Neodiprion lecontei: one gene and its partner. Each later gene encodes a partner of the first gene's protein in a complex. Links are inferred from orthologs where the notes say so. Each region holds a gene or a part of one and is shown on either strand. Other genes may lie near its edges. The genes, in order: tRNA-splicing endonuclease subunit Sen34 and uncharacterized protein LOC107227980.

Region 1 (4,942 bases):
AGGAGGAAGAACCGGTTAAAAAACGTCTAGTTATGTTATTTATGCAAATGATATTGTATATAACTGAAACAGCATCTTTTCTACGTGATAGAAATGAATTTGACCAAAATTCAATATCACGAGCAGAGATATCAATGATTTAAAAAACGATTGTAAAATTAGTAAGTTCAAAATGACTAAACTCTTGTGATTTTGATCAGGTTTTATTGTTTTTGGGATTCTTTTGACCGCTGACTAGATCTCCACAAATTTTTTCAAAAACATTCCAAAATTTTACATCATAGGACGGTTATAACACGCACATGTGATTGTTGACAAACACTTGTACTGTATTCACACAAATCTATTTGCATCTACACTGAGGACAACCGTTTGTGAAATACTTTTCCGGAAATCTCTGGAGATTTCTATCGTGAGAAAATAAACCCGAAAGCATAGGAATCACATGAGAAATACTAGAATTTAACCATATTCAAAGTTCTAGTTGTTAAACTTTTTCTCGAATTGCTGATACCTTAGCTTCTGTAGTTCCAATTTGGTCGAAATTATTTCTCTCTACGGTCCACTCTAAATGCGAATAAATTATCCATTACTCGTAGATACGTAAATCTATTATTTCTTTTCCTGAAAAAACAAGTGAAATTATGTCTAAAAACTGGTAAAAACTAAGTCTACATACGCGTCGAATGCCGTTGCAAGCCGGGAATATGTTGCACATAAAATATCGGCGTCGATGGTTTAAAATTTTTTCAACATTTACCTTTACTCCGTGGCGATTTGCTGCAACGTGTACATGTATTCATACAGTCTTCTAAATAAAGGCACTGCGTAATTTTTGTTAATTCTTCAACATTGGTGACAAGTAATCAGGCAAAACAATAATACCATCTTGTTGGTTCGTTCTAGCAACACACAATCATTCTTCTGTACCATATAAGATGCCCAATACATGTATGTAAACATGCGAAATACTCATCTTTCTGAGATTTAAATTCAAGAGCGAGCAACTTCAGGTTTTCCGTTGACAATTAGGAGCGCGGGCTTCTTGAATAACAACTATGTTAAGTTTGTGTAAATTTATCAAGTTAGAAAGAAGAAATATACTACTTCCAGGTAATTTTGAATATAATCATTGTCAATTTTACAAACAATTAACGGACACCTCAAAATTTGCCGATATCTCATTTAAGTTTCGCTGTCTGCCGTGCTATTCGTGATATATTTATAGACTATATTATATCTCTGTATATATAGGTACAGGTCCTGCAGCGAACTGAAATTTGAGTGGCTGAGGTAGCCGCGTTATTGTCCAAATTTTTTTTGCCACTACTGGCCACTACGCAGCGCTGTCAGTTATTCATAGGCATATAAGTGTCATTAGCCCCCTGACACTCACCATTGCTCGTTTACTAAAAATTTGTACGCGTTTTGTCCCCGTTTTTTAGTTCCTCTACGTGGCGCTAGTAGACTTCTGACACGCTCGCTGCCCTCGCTGACCGCACGCAAGCTCGTCAGACAACTACTAGCGCCAGTAGTGGTGGAGATTGGCGGAAGAATCGAGGGACATTTTGCGAACCACTTTTAGCAGCTTGTGTCAGGGGGCTGAGTGACATTACACGTAAGGTTATCTGTCATGAGTATCAAAGAGATTGGTTAGGGTTCCGCCAAATAATAATAATAAGCTTATGAATAACTCGTAGCGCTGCTCCTGTGGCCATAAGTTGTACTTTTGTTTCGGACGTGAACTGACCACCCCCCACCACGTTCGTTGCAAGACCTCTATGTGACACCGTGGTTTTACCAGAGATGAGTAGGGAGATCTCCAACGCTCGGCTTTTCGTGATACCAGCTAGGTTGGAGCGTCGACGTGACACCTAGGCGGCCACGCACCGAAGGTGGCCCATTTCCGACCTGACACCTAGGCGGCCATGCACCGAAGGTGGCCCACAATCGTGCATATATAGATATACTCGGTCGCTCGAGCAAGCGGTTGCCAATCGCATCCTTGTCCCCGCTCGCACTAATGTTTCCAGGAATGCAAGAATTGGGATTTTTTTGTTTCAATTATGAATGTCAGCGAATAAAAGTATCTCCAGATTTGATAAATTTTGGATTCAATTAGCGGACGCTGAACCAAAATAATTAACCATTCCCAGCCCGAATACTTCTTTTTTTTTAATAAATATTATTTTTTTATTGATATGAAAATATGTGACGCCTGGTGTTCTCGAATATTTGTACGCGCTGTCTATGGAAAAATATACGAAGCCAGCTCGATAACATTTATGCAAAATGTGCAATGGGCAAGTGGTTGGAGGAAATTTTTTTTTTCTCGAACTGAATCTTCCAGAGAACCATCAGCGAATTCCAAGCAAGCTCCATAAACATACCGAGCAAACGCGCGATCACGGACGTAGCTGTGGTGTGGCTGAGTGGATACCACATGAGGATGAATTTTCAATCACAGGTTTTTGCGCGAAGTTTTCCTGTATTTAAGTTAATTACTACTGCCTTTGCTATAATACTGCATTCAAGTCTTAAACAAAACACTAAAAAATAAGTTAACCACTTAATGTAAAACAAAATGTTAGATCGAGCTTAAAATTTAAGCCGGAGTTACATAAACTAAGATAATTACAAGTGCAATATTGTAAATATTGAGCATTTATTGTTCATCTAAATAAATATGGTTTCCTCCTCAAAAAAAAAAAAAAAAACATGAGGATGGAGTGATGCGGGACACGGGTTCGATCGCAGTTCACTCTTTTTTTTTTTTTATTTTTAAATTCAATCCCGGCTTTTTTTTTTGTATTTTCGGAGAGAAAAAACAAATCAAAGAAAGAAAATTTCGAGAGCCGGTCGATTTTTTCCTTCTTTCCTTTTGCTTTTTTTTTTACTGAACCCACCTTTTTTGTAGTGGGGGTAACCCGGAAGAGAACAAATAATTGAAACAATAAAATTCCGAGAGCGAATCGATTTGTTCCGCGTTTTTGGCGCCTCTTTTTTGATATGGAAAAGTTTTGACAGTAATGGAAAATAGAGATTACTAAACGCAAATGTATTGTTTTTTAATAACACCGGCCCACAGAAAAAAAGTGGCCTGTACTTTTGACCGGACCTACCTATCTTTATGTATTTTGACGCGCTGAATCCGAATCTGAAGTCAGTTTTGCCCGTACACCCTCAAAATTTTGAGTAAATTGCAAAAAAACCATAAAAATCGCCAAAAATTAGCATTTTTGGTAAGAAAAAAATTTATGGAACTATAGACCAAGTATGATTTTTATGCATTTTGGTCCGCTAAACCCAAATCTGAAGTTTATTCAGCCATAAGCCTTTTAAAATTTAATTGGGCCGGTGTTATTAAAAAACAATACATTTGTTTTTAGTAATCTCTATTTTCCATTACTGTCAAAACTTTTCCTTATTAAAAAAAAAACGCCCATTTTATATCAGTCTTGACGAGCATTTCTTAAGAAGTTTGAGAGATGCGAGATCGGAACGACAAAATTATTTCAGTAGCAACAATGTATGGACCCCTCTCCTTTTCTGATATTCGCAGCCAGTTGAGAGGCTTCACAGTGTTCAGTTTAGTGCCAGCAGCTCTCGAGGTAGCAAGATGGTAAGTGAATTACATAATTATTTTACATGTATGGAAAAACCGGCAGGTTTGACGATCGTCTATTTACTTTATAGATTAAGAAGAGAAAAAAAGGGAAGGACCTGTAGTCGTATTTTATACTTTATTTAATTTTCCTTGAATTGTCAGACGTTTTTATTTTTGATTGTATAGGAAGAAGATGTGTGGGGAATTCCATTCTAGTGCCCAAGAATATAGTACACATTTTCGATCATTTTTTCTTTTTTTTTTTTGGGAAAACATTTTCCTCAATTTCCAAATTTCCTTAATTTTTTGGTATTCAAATCGATTCTTAACAATTTTGCGCACAGGTGGGATTTCTTTAATTATTTTTTTCCTAATCCTGAGGATATTTCCTATCTGAGACCACTGTCAATAGGCGAGATTCCGGATATTATAAAATTACCTTTTTTTCTAATTAAAAAGAAAATCACATAAGGCCACTAAGAACTCGAAATGAAAATCTGACAAAATTAGAGATGTTTTTTTATATTCGAAGCCATTAACGTAAATAATCCGTTCAACGACCATCCTAATAGATATACATTGTATATGGGGCATTCCGCGTCAAATTTGCAACCCATGTACCTCACCCTCTTCGATTTTGATAATTCTTTAGTATGATGTTACAACCACGGTTTCAATCGACTTGAAACAGTGTCGGAATTTTTTGCAGATTTCTTTAGCCACCACTGAAAGAGAAAAAAAAATGAAAAACCAATTCCGGAAACGCTTCTTTTAAAATTCTGAAAAAATTCACACTGATTTTATAATTAAAAATATGATTTGTAAGCATGACAGGACAACGTGATCTTAACATCTACTACTTTTCTAGCAAGTTTTTGGTTTTCTTGGATCTTTGGATAACTTAAAAAAAAAGAATGAAATGGTATGAACTGTATTCAGGCCTTCTGGCATTCCTCTAAATTTCAGAAAAATTGATATCCATTAATAATAGAGAAATTTATGACCGAACAAATAAATAGAAACTCCAATTCCGGCATGAGAAAAAAATGCTTGCTAGAAAAGTAGTGAATGTTGAGATCACGTTGTCCTGTCATGCTTACAAATCATATTTTTAATTATAAAATCAGTGTGAATTTTTTCAGAATTTTAAAAGAAGCGTTTCCGGAATTGGTTTTTCATTTTTTTTTCTCTTTCAGTGGTGGCTAAAGAAATCTGCAAAAAATTCCGACACTGTTTCAAGTCGATTGAAACCGTGGTTGTAACATCATACTAAAGAATTATCAAAATCGAAGAGGGTGAGGTACATGGGTTGCAAATTTGACGCGGAATGCCCCA
Region 2 (5,877 bases), on another chromosome or scaffold:
GTGGAAGACGTTAGTAATTTTGACGAAGAATTCACTTCAGAAAAACCGCAGTTAACACCACCCAAGGATCCTCGGCCGCTCAATGATCAAGAACAAAACTTCTTCAGAGATTTCACATACATGGCCGATTGGTGCTAGCTACAATCGCTACAGAGGCAGACTATGTAGTCTTCTAGTGTTCATTCGCATAAGAGTTATAAGTTTCATTCACAAAATTTATTTTGCAGTGATATAATTTGCTTCCAACACGTAGGTAATTCCAATGTAATATTCTCCACGCCAGCACGTTTTCTTTCCTATGTGTACGACATAGTTAATAATTCACACACAATCATGAATCAACAATTAATTGTATATTATTTTTTCAACTACAGTTGCACATTTGCGATTATTGATTATGTAAAAATTAAGTCCTCTAATTGTATTATTATGAGATATTGCCTTTGAATTATAAAAAGATAAAATTTCTACCAGCAAAAGTGTATAATTCAATTTTATGAAAGTATGTGTATAAACTCTGTATTGGCCAAAAGAAAACTTGCTCGTTAGGACGGAAGTTATAATAATTATGCTATTTGCTCACAGCCTGTTTGATAACTGATCAATGCACAATTTGAATTTTGCTGTCAAGATCACAGCACTAAAGTAAAAATTGACCCTCAATTGTCGCTCATTATTTATTTATTTATTTTTTTTTTCTTTGTTTATTTTCCTTGCATTGGTTTCAAATGGAGATTGAACTTTCGAACGGTAGGTGTCGAAAATTGTGGGAAAAAAGTCGACGTAGTCCATGCTTGTTTCATGTGTTTAATTCAGAAAATGCCAACATAGTTACAAAGTGCATTGATGTAATACATTCACTTTTGACAATATTTACAGGCTTGAGAAATGTTTTATGTAGTATGATAAAATATAAGAATTGAGAATATAATTAGTTGTTACAAACACAAGTCTTTCTCATTTCAAAGGCAATTTTTTTATTAAGCTATTAAATCTGGACCAGGTTATGTGGTATCAGTTTTACTTTTCACAATTGACAATCAAAGCAATGATCAAGGTTACGGATTATTTTGATGAAGTTATAAAATTTTTCTCATAAAAAAACAAATCATGCAAGAACCATGTTAAATAACTAGGACTTATTTTGGTAAATTCATACCAATCAATCTGATATTCTATAACAATATTGAATGTGATTTCGGAGTTGCTTTTCTATCTTGAGCAAAAAGCTCAGTTCTCTTAAATTACTGTCCGTGAGATATTGGTAAATAAAAACAATAAAAATTGATCGATAAAAATAATGCAAATATTTGTGATAGTTTCGAGAAAATCTCGATGAATAGTTGCCTTATTGCATTAAAAAATTAATACAATGGTAAATAAGAAATAAAAATTATTTGGTAACTATTTTATAAAGCATTTTTATAATATATTATAATCAACACTGATCAATATCAGGAGGTGCTCACGTTATACTTTATCATAAAAACATCTGATGGACCCATTATGGAGTTTTAATCCAGTTTTGTACCTTCGGTGATTAGGCAACTGTGGTATGATTAATTAGCGGCCTAATTTAAATACCTTTTTAGAAATCATCTCACAGGATACATTCTATACTTTATAAGAAAATGAAGGTAAACGATCAGATATAGATTACGATCGTATTCGTCAAAAGTAAAATAATTTTAATATAAATAAAATTAAAAAAAAAAAAGAAAAATCATTTTAACTGCATATCCAACATAATGAATCATAATCGTAGTATAAGTTGTTGCCAAGAACATAGTTTATTCTAATACATATGTGATTTTTGTATTAATGTCAACCTCGATTCATTGATATGAAGAAAATTGTAATTTTTGAATGCGTGTTGAAATAATTTCAACAATTATTGATAATTACAGTAACACGTCTTGATAAGCTAAATACTAATATATTGTTCTGCAGGCATTGTTCACCTACTTTGCTTCTATATCATCGACGCAACTTTGAACTGCCAAAACTGAACACTTATCCGGGAAACAAATAATCTTTCCGTTTATTTCTAAGCTAGAGCAATTCTTACCAAACTACTCACGTTACGGTATCTTCTCGATTGATTTATTATTATTAATCATCATATTTTTTTGATCGTTGTTTACTATTTTAGGAAGCATTAAATAATTATCGATCATGACTGAACTGTCTATTTAACAAGTAATAAGATTTATCACTTTGAATGTTGAGTTCCATTACTTCCACTTTTAACTGTATAGTTACGCGATCAAATAATTTGCACGTGACTCTAAAAGAAGCACATATTAACATGTATTCGGGAAATAACAAATTCGTATGGTGTATATAACATAAATTACAACATGAAATACCCAATAAATCTTCAATTGTAGATAGTCATATAACTTCTTGTTTTGAAAGTTTTTACTAGTACAGTAAAAACGTTTCCTTACTCAATTTTTACATACATTTACCTAATAACATTGTTAGGTTTTAATCTTAAGATGTGTTCGGTGATGCATTCATTACACTATCCCTAATATTCAACATACCTGTTATGACAAAGAAAACTGTACTATGTGCCTCATACTTTATAGTTTATATACTAAACAACTAATAACCATGATGCCTACGTGATGATTTTAAAGTATTAATTTATTTGATACGTATAATTGCAGTGGCAGCTTGATACAATATTATATTAATTAATTGCGTAGTTTTTAGTGATAACTCTAAAATTTATAAACTTATAATATGCCCAAGAAAAATTATGCATACAATAAATACAAGGAAAAAAAACTCTTTGACTGCAATTATTTTAAATAATTTTATACGGAGCAATTCTTCTGCTTGACTTATATTTCAAGTATGAACTGTGCGTTTCAATCCCCTGCAGACAATTCAGGATTGCTTTGACTCTCTTTACTTTCTACCGAAGTAGCTAATTCATAGAGATTTGAAGCATTTTTTCTTATTTCACTTTCCAATTCAATTTTCTTTTCTTGCCTCTTTTTGTACTCTTTGCTTTGTTCTGGCGATGCCGGTTTTACAAGTCCAGCTGAAACACAGTAATAAATACTGGTACTGTCTCCCTCTACGAAAACCAGTGTCAATCTACAAACAATATAAATTATTGTCAGTCCATTCTCTGCAACAAGTAAATGATTGAAGACATGGTACCAGTAAGTTCTAAAGTTACCGTTCACTCTTCAATTCCTTTTGCATTTGCTCGATATGATTCAAAGATATGGCATTTACTGCTGGCCATGGAATGTATTTTTGCAATGGAGATGATTTGGTTGCACAAGCTTCCAGATAGATCAAGTCAAGTGATTTGTTATACTTGTACTGTACGTCCCAAAACCGTTTCACTAAAACCAGTAATAGGAATGAAAATAAAACGTGCTACTTGAAATTTTAGATTTTGCAAGATTCATAAATGAAAGGAATGTTTCGTGTTACACCTACAGTAGCGTTCTTAATTCTGTCCTGAAGACAAATTAGCAGTAAACATATGAGCATGCTTAAGCGATAAAATACCAAAATAACAAAGAGAAATGGACCAATCGTTTTAGATTCGTATTATACGAATATTGTGGTATAAAAAACTGCCAAACAACCATCATTTTGTTACATGAAGTCATGTGTCGTAATAAAAAAATAAGATAAAACTTTCATAACTAGATGAAACTCTCTTAGAATAGTAGATTCTCTGCCACCAGACGTTTTCGTCTGATGTGTTGGATCACAATTATTTAATCAAGTCGGTGAGTATATCCATACCTTCGCACAGTTCTATGTATGTTTGAAATGCAATCGTGATTTGCAGAGCATTCGTGCAGCCAAGTTTTTCTATATCGCAAAACTGAAAGAATGAGCGTATTAGTTAATTTCCGTAGTCTCTGACGTAGAAAGTGGTTTTGAAGTGAGCGAATGTTTATTCTGACCACATTCTAACACCTGACATGCGAATTTCCAGATGTCAACCGATAAATAAGTACTCACTGCTGGATGACACGTGCTATACATTATGCTCACTGGGCCTTATACGTTTGTCATGCGTTTAAAATGGCGTGGTAAATATAAAGTCTGAACTGCAACAGCGGAGGTGACAGAAAATCCTCACGTGAAAACGTCAAAATTCATTGTCGACCACAAGTGAGACAGAGTCCGCCATCTTCAGATCGGTACATGCCTTGACTGAACAATATAAAGACAGTTTCCCTAATGGACTTTGGTATGACTAACGAAAATCGTTGTGCGCTTGCGCCTCCAGAGATGTTTCGACGGTAGAGTTGAGAACTTGTTGCAGAACATCTGAGAGTGGCCGATTTCGACATGATGCTGGCTGCATTCTCCTACCGAGTAACACCAGAAACTCATCTCTGGTGTAAACGTCAAAACTCATTGTGAACAACAAGTGAAACAGGGTCCGCCATCATCAGGTCGGTGTATGCAGGATCCGAATGATTCGTGTATCGCAGGTTGCAGAAATACGATGCGTCAGGCGGTTGTTTTTTCACCACTTCTGATAAAAATTGTTTATTGGAATAGAATGATGAAACGGTAATGAAAATTAACCTGGTATTTATTTCGCGTACTTATGTCATCAGTGAAAGATGACTACATAAGGTATTTTGACGTGACTAACATACGTGTCCGGTCTTTTCATTTCCGAATTGCGGTGAATTATAAATGCATCACAACACCTGATGTGATTGATTTCAACACATCTAAGGTGACACTAACAATCCTCGACTGAATATTCATACTTAATTGTTCATGGGAAATGCCAGTACCACAGTTCACCCAGCATCGCATATCACATACTTGTAATCTCGATGAGTTACAAATGAAATCTCACCAGTTTGTTTCGTAGGCTAAATAGAGTAGACCGTTGAGTTTCGATAAATTCAAGGAATAAAAAGGAAGGTGGTGCTATCTTACAATTGGTGCTAATACGTTGCGAGCAACGGATCAAGAGTTACGGCCCATGACGACACACGTATTTTTCGACATTTTTCAACAGGTGCTTTTTCCTTCGTAACTTCTCTCCTGTTGATCCCACGCTGTTTTCGCGGCGTTTTCTGAGTTCCTAGGGGTCCAAATGGTCAGGAAAGGGTCATTTAAATCGAATCTGGGACCAAAAATTTTTCGGCTAAAAAAAAAGCAAGGCTAACCCCTTTGCATTTTTGGCGAAAATTTTCGCGATTTTGAAAAGTGCTGGAATAAATTCTTTCATGCACCATTCCGACGTAGTTTTGCGAGAGAAATCGATTGGGCGCAGTCCCAATACGCTGCGATCAACGCATCAAAAGTTACAGCCGAAAAACGAGAACCTGTGTTTTCGACATTTTTCAGCAGGTGCTTTTTCCTTCGTAACTTCTCTCCTGTTGATCCCACGCTGTTTTCGCTGCGTTTTCTGAGTTCCTGGGGGTCCAAATGGTCAGGAAAGGGTCATTTAAATCGAATCTGGGACCAAAAATTTTTCGGCTAAAAAAAAAGCATTTTTGGCGAAAATTTTCGCGATTTTGAAAAGTGCTGGAATAAATTCTTTCATGCACAATTCCGACGTAGTTTTGCGAGAGAAATCGATTGGGCGCAGTCCCAATACGCTGCGATCAACGCATCAAAAGTTACAGCCGAAAAACGAGAACCTGTGTTTTCGACATTTTTCAGCAGGTGCTTTTTCCTTCGTAACTTCTCTCCTGTTGATCCCACGCTGTTTTCGCTGCGTTTTCTGAGTTCCTAGGGGTCCAAATGGTCAGGAAAGGGTCATTTAAATCGAATCAGGGACCAAAAATTTTTCGGCTAAAAAAAAGGCAAGGCTAACCCCTTTGCATTTTTGGCGAAAATTTTCGCGATTTTGAAAAGTGCTGG

What was found.
Region 2: the proteins of tRNA-splicing endonuclease subunit Sen34 (region 1) and uncharacterized protein LOC107227980 are in contact, whole or in part, in a crystal structure (PDB 6Z9U), measured with the Homo sapiens proteins. The link is inferred for Neodiprion lecontei from reciprocal best matches to the Homo sapiens genes TSEN34 and TSEN15. Residues at the interface, in NP_001070914.1 of Homo sapiens: Pro251, Leu252, Arg253, Phe254, His255, Ala256, His257, Tyr258, Pro265, Glu266, Asp267, Thr268, Ile269, Pro270, Leu271, Gln272, Leu274, Ser283, Val284, Arg285, Lys286, Thr287, Leu289, Leu290, Cys291, Ser292, Gln294, Val300, Tyr301, Thr302; in NP_443197.1 of Homo sapiens: Leu70, Lys74, Trp76, Thr108, Pro109, Ile110, Thr111, Ala112, Ser113, Leu114, Ser115, His116, Asn117, Ile119, Arg120, Leu123, Leu141, Ile143, Val151, Tyr152, Tyr153, Lys154, Leu155, Thr156, Asp157, Gly158, Phe159, Met160, Leu161, Pro162.

The regions. Positions count from the first base shown.
Region 1 is NC_060264.1:17,183,883-17,188,824, reverse strand, and holds the start of tRNA-splicing endonuclease subunit Sen34, read left to right. Parts: upstream 1-1,779; 5' UTR 1,780-1,794; intron 1,795-4,942. UniProt on the Homo sapiens protein: Constitutes one of the two catalytic subunit of the tRNA-splicing endonuclease complex, a complex responsible for identification and cleavage of the splice sites in pre-tRNA. It cleaves pre-tRNA at the 5'- and 3'-splice sites to release the intron.
Region 2 is NC_060261.1:8,991,558-8,997,434, reverse strand, and holds uncharacterized protein LOC107227980, read right to left. Parts: upstream 4,222-5,877; 5' UTR 4,027-4,221; coding exon 4,003-4,026; intron 3,863-4,002; coding exon 3,781-3,862; intron 3,369-3,780; coding exon 3,197-3,368; intron 3,112-3,196; coding exon 2,880-3,111; 3' UTR 713-2,879; downstream 1-712. Other genes in the region: serine/threonine-protein kinase N, read left to right, coding at 1-138. UniProt on the Homo sapiens protein: Non-catalytic subunit of the tRNA-splicing endonuclease complex, a complex responsible for identification and cleavage of the splice sites in pre-tRNA. It cleaves pre-tRNA at the 5' and 3' splice sites to release the intron.